2 linked regions of the Nothobranchius furzeri genome follow. The protein of the gene in region 1 interacts with the protein of each later gene in a biochemical or structural test. Links are inferred from orthologs where the notes say so. Each region holds a gene or a part of one and is shown on either strand. Other genes may lie near its edges.

Region 1 (4,282 bases):
GAGAGTTGCATTCTTTTTCTGTTGAATGTTAATTTAACCATTTGTTTTCACATCTAGAATTTGCAGAACCCCCCTGCAGATTTTGGTCGTGTATTTGAGTTCTGTTTTTTAGGTTTCTCTCGTGTGAAAGTAATCATAGTTACAGGTAATTTCAAAGTGGATTTATGCAGAAGACTGTCATTGTTTAATGTCGTTCTTTGCTGTACATTACTGTAACATTCTAAATGCATTTTGAGCTCTTGGTTTTTTAATATTATTATTGGGGACAATTGGTTTGTTTTGGTCACAGCCACGTCGATTTAATCTCATCTGGATTCATGATTCAGCATTATTAATCCTGTGACTGAAACAAATATGCATCAGATTAGGCTGATAGGCTTCTCATGAGTTTATTTTCATATTTTTTTTTAGCTTTTGTAGCAGATTGTTGCAGATGGACTAATGCTGTGAAGAATAAAGTGTCAACTAAATCTCTGCCTCATGAGGTCTGCTATTTTATTCTGAAGGAGTGCAAATTATTCAGAACTTCTTTGGTGCTTTGTTGTTTTTCAAACATTCCTGTCAAGTCAGATAAAAAACAGAAAAACAAATCAATGACTGTTAAATAATTTCATTAAAATGTAATTGAGTTAACTTAATTGGTAAACTGGTGCCAAATGAGAAATAAACGCAAAAATGCCCAAAATCTTACTGCAAGCTAATACCAATTAATTAAATAATTTACATGTATTTACAAATGATACCCACTCATCACAAGTTTTATCATACAATGTTTCATGTATTTTTATTTATTTTATTATCAGGATATTCTGAGCTCCTAAGCTCTCCATCTGGATCTACATTTTTACGTTCTGAAAAATGTTTGTCTCACTTTTCACTGACTGAATACAGATAATTATAAATTATTCAGATTAATTTACATGGACGTTCCTTTCACTAATTTAAATTATTCTAATCTGAAATCCAAACAAGGTAATGCGTCAAAACAAGAGTTTGACTGCTACTATAAATGTGCATGCATTACATATGCAATACATGTTAGATTACATTTTCTTTATAAATTTGTAACACACCAGCTAATATTTTCCACTGTCTTTTGTGAAGCAAGTAAAACATGCGCGTCATGTGAGTTTTATTTTGAAATTCACGCCGGAAGCAATATTTTCTGACTTCACGGACAGCCAGAATTCCGATTTTATGGTCAGCCTGTCGGTCTCAGGGGCTGGGTTTCCCTTTTATCCAAGAAAGGGAGGAAAAAAAACAAGCACTGACAAACATGACGAGACAAAGATTATGATTTAAGTCGTACACATAATTAATGATTTAGACACTTTCAGGACTTGCCATGGCGATAAGGGAGCTCAAAGTTTGTCTTTTAGGGGTAAGTAGAAGACGTTTTTGTTGAAATTATCTGGGGCTATACATTCCTTCAGCGTACCGCAAAGTGGTGGAACTAAACCAAACCATTTTTCACGTTAACAACTTGATCTCAGAACTTAGTTGTTGCTTTTCCTTCGTTATCTTCGTAAAACTTGTTGCTAGCTTGTTTGTGAAAAAACAAACAAAAAAACAACAACATGTGATTAATCGAGTTGCGCCGCATTTCTTTTAAATTGGATATTTTCCCCCATTAATTTTACCGGATTGTTTTATTTCACTTTAATGTGTGGTCCCATTTTTGTTGCTTTTGAAAATTATCACCCATTACGTCATCTTCTGACTGACCGCTTCACGCGCCAGCCGTTAGCTTTCCTGCTGCGTCTGCGATCTTTTGACTCTTTGACAGGAAGTGCTTAGGTTAGCCCTTGGAAACGGCACTTTAATAACACCTAGAGGCAAAAGTTAGTACGTTTTAGAGCCTCATCGCGTCAATCAGGCCTCTTGAGTGCAATCACAGGCCTTAATAATAGAGTTAATGCTCCAAATGAGCTAAACATCTCATTATAGGAGATCACACATATTTAAACCATTTTTAAAGCAAGATATAAGGCTGATGTTTGTCTTGTGTAACTAAAAAAAGAGATGGATCATGGAACACAGTATAGATTTGGTTAACAATAATGATACACCCCTTTATAATGTTAGTTAAATTTACTATCAGTATAAATGCGCTAACTGAGTGTTTTTCGACCATCTGAGCTTGTAATCATCATGCAGTCGCACAATCAGCTGGGTTCAGTGACCATAGATTGCTTGCATGTGACTTATGTGTGACTCTTTTCTTTTCAGGACACTGGAGTTGGTAAATCCAGCATTGTTTGCAGATTTGTCCAAGATCATTTTGATCACAACATAAGCCCGACCATAGGGTGAGTATGAATCATCAGAGCCTAAAAGCAGGAAACAAACCTGGAAATGTTGTGCATAAACATGAACTTTGAGGTTCAAACGATCAATACTTTAATCAAGGCTGAGAAAAAGTGACATGTTTACTTTTGATGACAGAAAAAAGTCATTCAGTAGATCAGTTTGATCCCTTATTGGCAAATTTATTCCAGAAATAGTTATTTTAAAATAATCTCTTTGGAAAATTATACACCATAATTGCAGGAGTTGTAATTAAAATATTTCTTAGGTGCAATTGTTAATGTTTTAAATCAAACCCCCCATAAAAATTAATACGCAATTAGACTGATAAATGTTTTTAACCATTTAAACCAGTTTAATCTTCTTTTTATGATGGTTTACAGCCTTTAAAGTCACCCAGATTCATCATCACACAGTTATTTACACAATTATTAAAATGTCTGCTAACTAAGACAGTGCTGTGTAAGCAACTTTGTGAAATGCGTCTGCAGAGCATCATTCCTGACTAAGACGGTACCGTGTGGAAATGAGCTACATAAATTTCTAATCTGGGACACGGCCGGACAGGAACGGGTGAGTAACACATGACTCCATGAATCATGTTTTTCAACTGATTTTCCATCACGTTTTGAACCAGAGCCACTCAACACTCAGTGTTATTGTTAACTGAGTTTGAAGATGAGGAGATGCATCAAATACATCAAGTCTTATCTGAGAGTTTGGATACGTTTTGATTGCTGCTCACTTAAATTTCTTCTTTGGTTTTTAACAAGTAGCGAAAAAGTAAAGTTGCAGAAAACACTTAAGAAAAGTTCTCCCTAGATCCATGTTTCTGGGGCTGTGGCTGTTGGTGTGCTCTTAACATTCTAATATTGAGTTTTAGGACTTTTCTTCATGCATTTTCTATCATTTTTGGTTTTATGCAACAAAAATATCCAAAATAATTAGATAAAGTTGCAATGTGTTTGCTTTTATGTACGTTATTACACTCAAAAGAAGAGAATATTCTAGATGTCTTGGAGATTCATTAGATGGATGGTTTAGTGCTCTGTTGGGGATGGTTGGGGGGGTAGGGTGGATAAATGGGGAGTTACCTAAGACTTGCAAAATTTGCTTACTGCATGGAAAAACTAGTTCAAGCATTTCCTGGATGTGTGTGAAAACAATATCTGGAGACCTCTGTCTTTAGGTCTTACTGAGGTCTAAGACAGAAATGTTGAGTTTTAGTTTTAATAATGGTGTTGACTAGAGTTGTTATGGCGATGTAGTGTGAGATTTCACCCAAGAGCTTATGTTTGTTTTGCATACGTGGATGTCAATGAAGGGAAAAGATGATGGATGTTTGTGCAGAAACTGTTTTACTGGAACTCTTCCTCATATTAAAACAAATGGTAATAAACCCAAAACTTGTGCAGAAATAAAATGACTTGTGAAATTGGCTACAAACATCACATTTTCGCCCCGTCTGCAGCGTTTACTGCTAAGAGGAGGGGCACACACTGAACAAGTCACCAGTCCGTTACAGCGACACGGGACAATCAACTAGTCCTCTAGATACGGCTGGGCAATAAATCAAAAATGTATTCATCCACCCATCCATCTTCTGAACCCGCTTTGTCCACGCAGGGTCGCACGCGGGGGTGGGGGTGGGGGGGCTGGTGCCTATCTCCAGCAGTCAACGGGCAAGTAGGCGGGGTACACCCTGGACAGAGAGCCAGTCTATCGCAGGACAACACAGACACACAGAGACAAACAACCATGCACACACACTCGCACCTAAGTACAATTTAGACCAATTAACCTAACAGTCATTTTTTTGGACTGTGGGAGGAAGCCGGAGCACCTGGAGAGAACCCACGCATGCACAGGGAGAACATGCAAACTCCATGCGGAAAGATCCCAGGCCGGGAATCGAACCCAGGACATTCTTACTGCAAGGCAACAGCTCTAACCACTGCGTCACTGCGCAGCCTTC
Region 2 (3,823 bases), on another chromosome or scaffold:
AAAAGCCTGAGGGAAGCTGCTGATCAGAGGCTTGCTAAGTTGAGTGAACATCTGCAAAAAGGGAAGCAGGAGAACGAGAGACTCCAAACAGAACTGGTACAAGTTGCTCTTTAGAGTTTACAGGACATTTTTCGCATAAATTCTTTAGGATCTAGTTTTTAGGAACCAGGTTAACGCTGTGCCTCCATGCTGCCCCCTAGCTGCAGCGGCCGGGAGTGGAGGATGTGGAGGTTCTGCAGAAGGAGCTGGTTCAGGTGCAAACTCTGATGGACCATACAACTCGTGAGAAGGAGGAGGAGTCCAAACGCCTCAGAAACCATTGTGCTGAGCTACAGGCTAACTACGCTACCTCAGAGGTTAGGAGACTCTCTTATAGAAAATACTTTCAGTTTTCCTCTATTGTTTGCCCAGTCTGACATCACTTCACCTTTCAGGATGGTGAAGTTATCTGTTTCTTTATCAGAAACAGCTATGAGGTCGTTTAGTTTTCTGTAGTTATATCCCTTTTGGAGTTGTTCTTTTATTAATTAAATCCTGATGAATAATTCAGTCTTGTTCCCTGGATCCTAGAGGAGAGGAGTATTTTTATCACCACGTAGCTTCAGGATGTAAATCTTTGTCTTCAAATGATCTTTAGAAGAACAACTTTCTGTTTTTTACACACAACAGAACCAGTTTTTCTGGATTTAGTAAAATTTCTTTTCTCACTGATGATTAACATGAAGGGTTAGTAGCTGGGACTGCGCTGTTTGTGGAAACAGCATCTTGTGGACGAGCTAAAATGTTGGAGTGGGTCATTTAGTAAAGCAAAAGAAAAAACACCACAGATGATCCAACGCTAGCAAACTAAATTGTATTTAACCCTTTTAATTTTAGACATATTGAGCTGAAACTGGGTGTTCGTAGGTGAATCTCATCCTTAACACACTCGGAGTGCTAACTGATAATTGTGCATATTATTAACATGATTTAATGAATTTTAAATAAACTTAATTTATCAACATTAGATGATTTTACTGTAGAGGATCTGCTACGACATGAACACTAGGCCTTTCATTTTTTTGTTTTTGATTTGTAAATAATCTGTTTCTGAAATTAGACAAAGAAGAAAGCCTCATTTTATTTTTTCATAATTGTCAGAGTGAAGTTGTCTTTGCCATGTTGTTCTTTCAGCCCCTCTCCTGCAGTTTGTTGTCTCCTTACTTACCTTTGTCCTTGTGTCCTCCCCCTCCTCCTGCTTCTCTCACACTTCTACTTTCTCTCTGCAACACTCAAAATATTCAAGATTCAAAAACTGGACGTAAAACATCTCCATTCTAATTCATCCCACAATTAAATCAGAATCTTTTCAGATGTTCCGTTTTGAAAATGTGTGTAACTTATTTTTTGTGCGTTTTTGTGAACGTGCGGTCTTTTCACAATATTTTTTTACAGTTTTAACTCCATTTTCTGAATAAATATTTGTAGAATTGGTCTAAATGACGTGTTTGCGGGTTTGCAGAAGACAATCTCCCAACTCAAAGCAGAGCTGGAAAAAGGTCCACAGGAAGTGGCCGTCTACACACAACAGATCCACCAGCTGCAGAGCAATCTGAATAACCTGCAGCAACAATGTCAGGTAACACACACACACACACACACACACACACACACACACACACACTGTGACATCTCAAGCACGTAGCAGATTTGCCTTTACTGCAGCAGCATCTCAGGCTTCTTTTGTTGCTCAGCTTCACAATTCCTCGCTGTCATTGGTCATCTCTGGCAACAGCTGCTTGTTGATAAATATTATGGTCAGCACTATTATTAAACCAGCAGGGGGGGGGGGGTGCTGCGCCGCCTCCTCTGTCAGTCACAGTGAAACACAATCGCAGCCAGGTACAGGAAACGGGGAGCGCAGAGTCATAGATGCCTCCCTGATTAGACTCCAGCTCTGGATCTCCAGTGTCGTTATGATGCAGCTGCTTATCTCTCGACAGTAGGAAAACGACTGACAGATTGAATGAATGAGAAGAATAAAGCATCTCTGAAGAAGCGTGTTAAAGTGGAGGGCAGGTATCGTGAGCAGCTGGCTGTGTCATTAACAGCACGTTACTGTTTTATCACCCTGCTGCCTGTAAAAGCTCAGACCAGCTCTGCGTGTCCTGTTGGGATCTGTGCTGTCGGAGTGATGCTTATTCCTGACTGTTGACGGCTGAGTGTTCTTTTCCATCGGTGGCTTCCCATGGCTCATCGCAGCTGTTTTAAATGACAAAAGACAGATGATTAATGTCTCGTCAAATGCCACATTTTCTCATCTTCCACCCATTTAACCCCGGTTGATCTCAAGCCCTCTCTTCTCCCAGAGTCTGTGTGAAAAGCTCGTGTGTAAAGAGAAGGAATATCAAGATCTGCAGGAGCGTCTGGGAGCTGAGAAAGCTGCAAAGAAGGGAGTCCAAGATAGCCTGAGGGAGAGGGAGTCTGAGGTTCAGGAGCTCCAGGCCCGGGCCACGGGGACAGAAACCTCTCTTCAGAAGGCCCAGACTGAGCTCACAGAGAGGACTGAGGAGGTGGCCAAGCTGAAGAATGAGATCAGTGAGCTGGAGGTGAAGAACGCTGAGCTGAAGGTGGAGAGGAAACAACTGGAACAGCAGAGGGAAGAAAAGGAAAGCCAAGGTGCTCAGCAGCAGACGGAGATCGGTCAGGTGAGGACGGTCACCTGCTGAGACACACACACACACACACACACACACACACACACACACACACACACACACACACACACACACACACACACACACACACATGATACGAGTGTAAAGATCAGTTTGATGCTGTCTCCCTTTTTTTTACCCGCTCTTTCAGCTGCACACCAAACTCCTGGAAGCAGAGAGGCAGGTGGGCGAGCTGCAGGGTCGTCTGAAGGAGCAGAGGCAGCTGTCAGGAGAGAAACTGAAGGATCGAGAGCAGCAAGCAGCAGACCTGCAGCTTAGACTTTCCCGTGCTGAAGAACAAGTCAGAATTAACATTCACTCCTAACACCTGCAACGGATTTAATGTCATAGAAAAGATGTTGTATACATGATTTGTGTTTTTGTTTGAAGCATTTTAGGTATTTTAAAGCACAGAGGGCTCAGCAAAGGCCAGGATTTAGATTTTCATGCTCAGATTTTATAACCTTAACAGCATGAAATTACAAAAAGCCTAAACTTTTGTTCGGATTTCATTTTTATTATTATCAGCAGAAGAAATGTTATTCTGGGTGTTTGAAAATAAAATAAATCTGCCATCTTTTTAGATCATAAGTAAAAATGTCTATTGCAGCAATCTAAAATGATGCTGGTGTTTTTTTTCCTCAGCTGAAGGAGAGCTCCAGTAAGAACACAGACCTGCAGCACCAGCTGGAGAAAGCCAAGCAGCAGCACCAGGAGCTGCAGGCACTGCAGCAAAACACCAACGGGAAACTCCGGGAGGCACAGGTAGCCTCTTCACTCCATCTTCTGAGCTGCTTCCTCTCCACCCCGGTGATTGTTGGGACAGATGTCAATGTGGTTTTGATGTGCGCTTTAGAACGACCTGGAGCAGGTGTTGCGTCAGATCGGCGATAAAGACCAGAAGATCCAGAACCTGGAAGCTCTGCTTCAGAAGAGTAAGGATATTGTGAGTCAGCTGGAAGTTGAGAGAGAGGACTTATGTGCCAAAATCCAGGCTGGGGAGGGAGAATCGGCTGTCCTTAACCAGCTCAAAGAGAAGAACCATGCACTGCAGGAACAGGTGGATGCGCGCACACACACTCTCTGCCCCGTCGTTTACTAAACCTGATGCTGATGACTAAACTCAT

The links.
Region 2: the proteins of rab31 (region 1) and eea1 form a complex in vitro, tested with the Homo sapiens proteins (2 studies listed by BioGRID). The link is inferred for Nothobranchius furzeri from reciprocal best matches to the Homo sapiens genes RAB31 and EEA1.

The regions. Positions count from the first base shown.
Region 1 is NC_091751.1:42,851,472-42,855,753, forward strand, and holds the start of rab31 (ras-related protein Rab-31), read left to right. Parts: upstream 1-1,210; 5' UTR 1,211-1,345; coding exon 1,346-1,381; intron 1,382-2,229; coding exon 2,230-2,309; intron 2,310-2,798; coding exon 2,799-2,880; intron 2,881-4,282. UniProt on the Homo sapiens protein: The small GTPases Rab are key regulators of intracellular membrane trafficking, from the formation of transport vesicles to their fusion with membranes.
Region 2 is NC_091744.1:73,672,533-73,676,355, forward strand, and holds part of eea1 (early endosome antigen 1), read left to right. Parts: coding exon 1-96; intron 97-200; coding exon 201-356; intron 357-1,501; coding exon 1,502-1,618; intron 1,619-2,348; coding exon 2,349-2,687; intron 2,688-2,847; coding exon 2,848-2,997; intron 2,998-3,341; coding exon 3,342-3,461; intron 3,462-3,552; coding exon 3,553-3,756; intron 3,757-3,823. UniProt on the Homo sapiens protein: Binds phospholipid vesicles containing phosphatidylinositol 3-phosphate and participates in endosomal trafficking.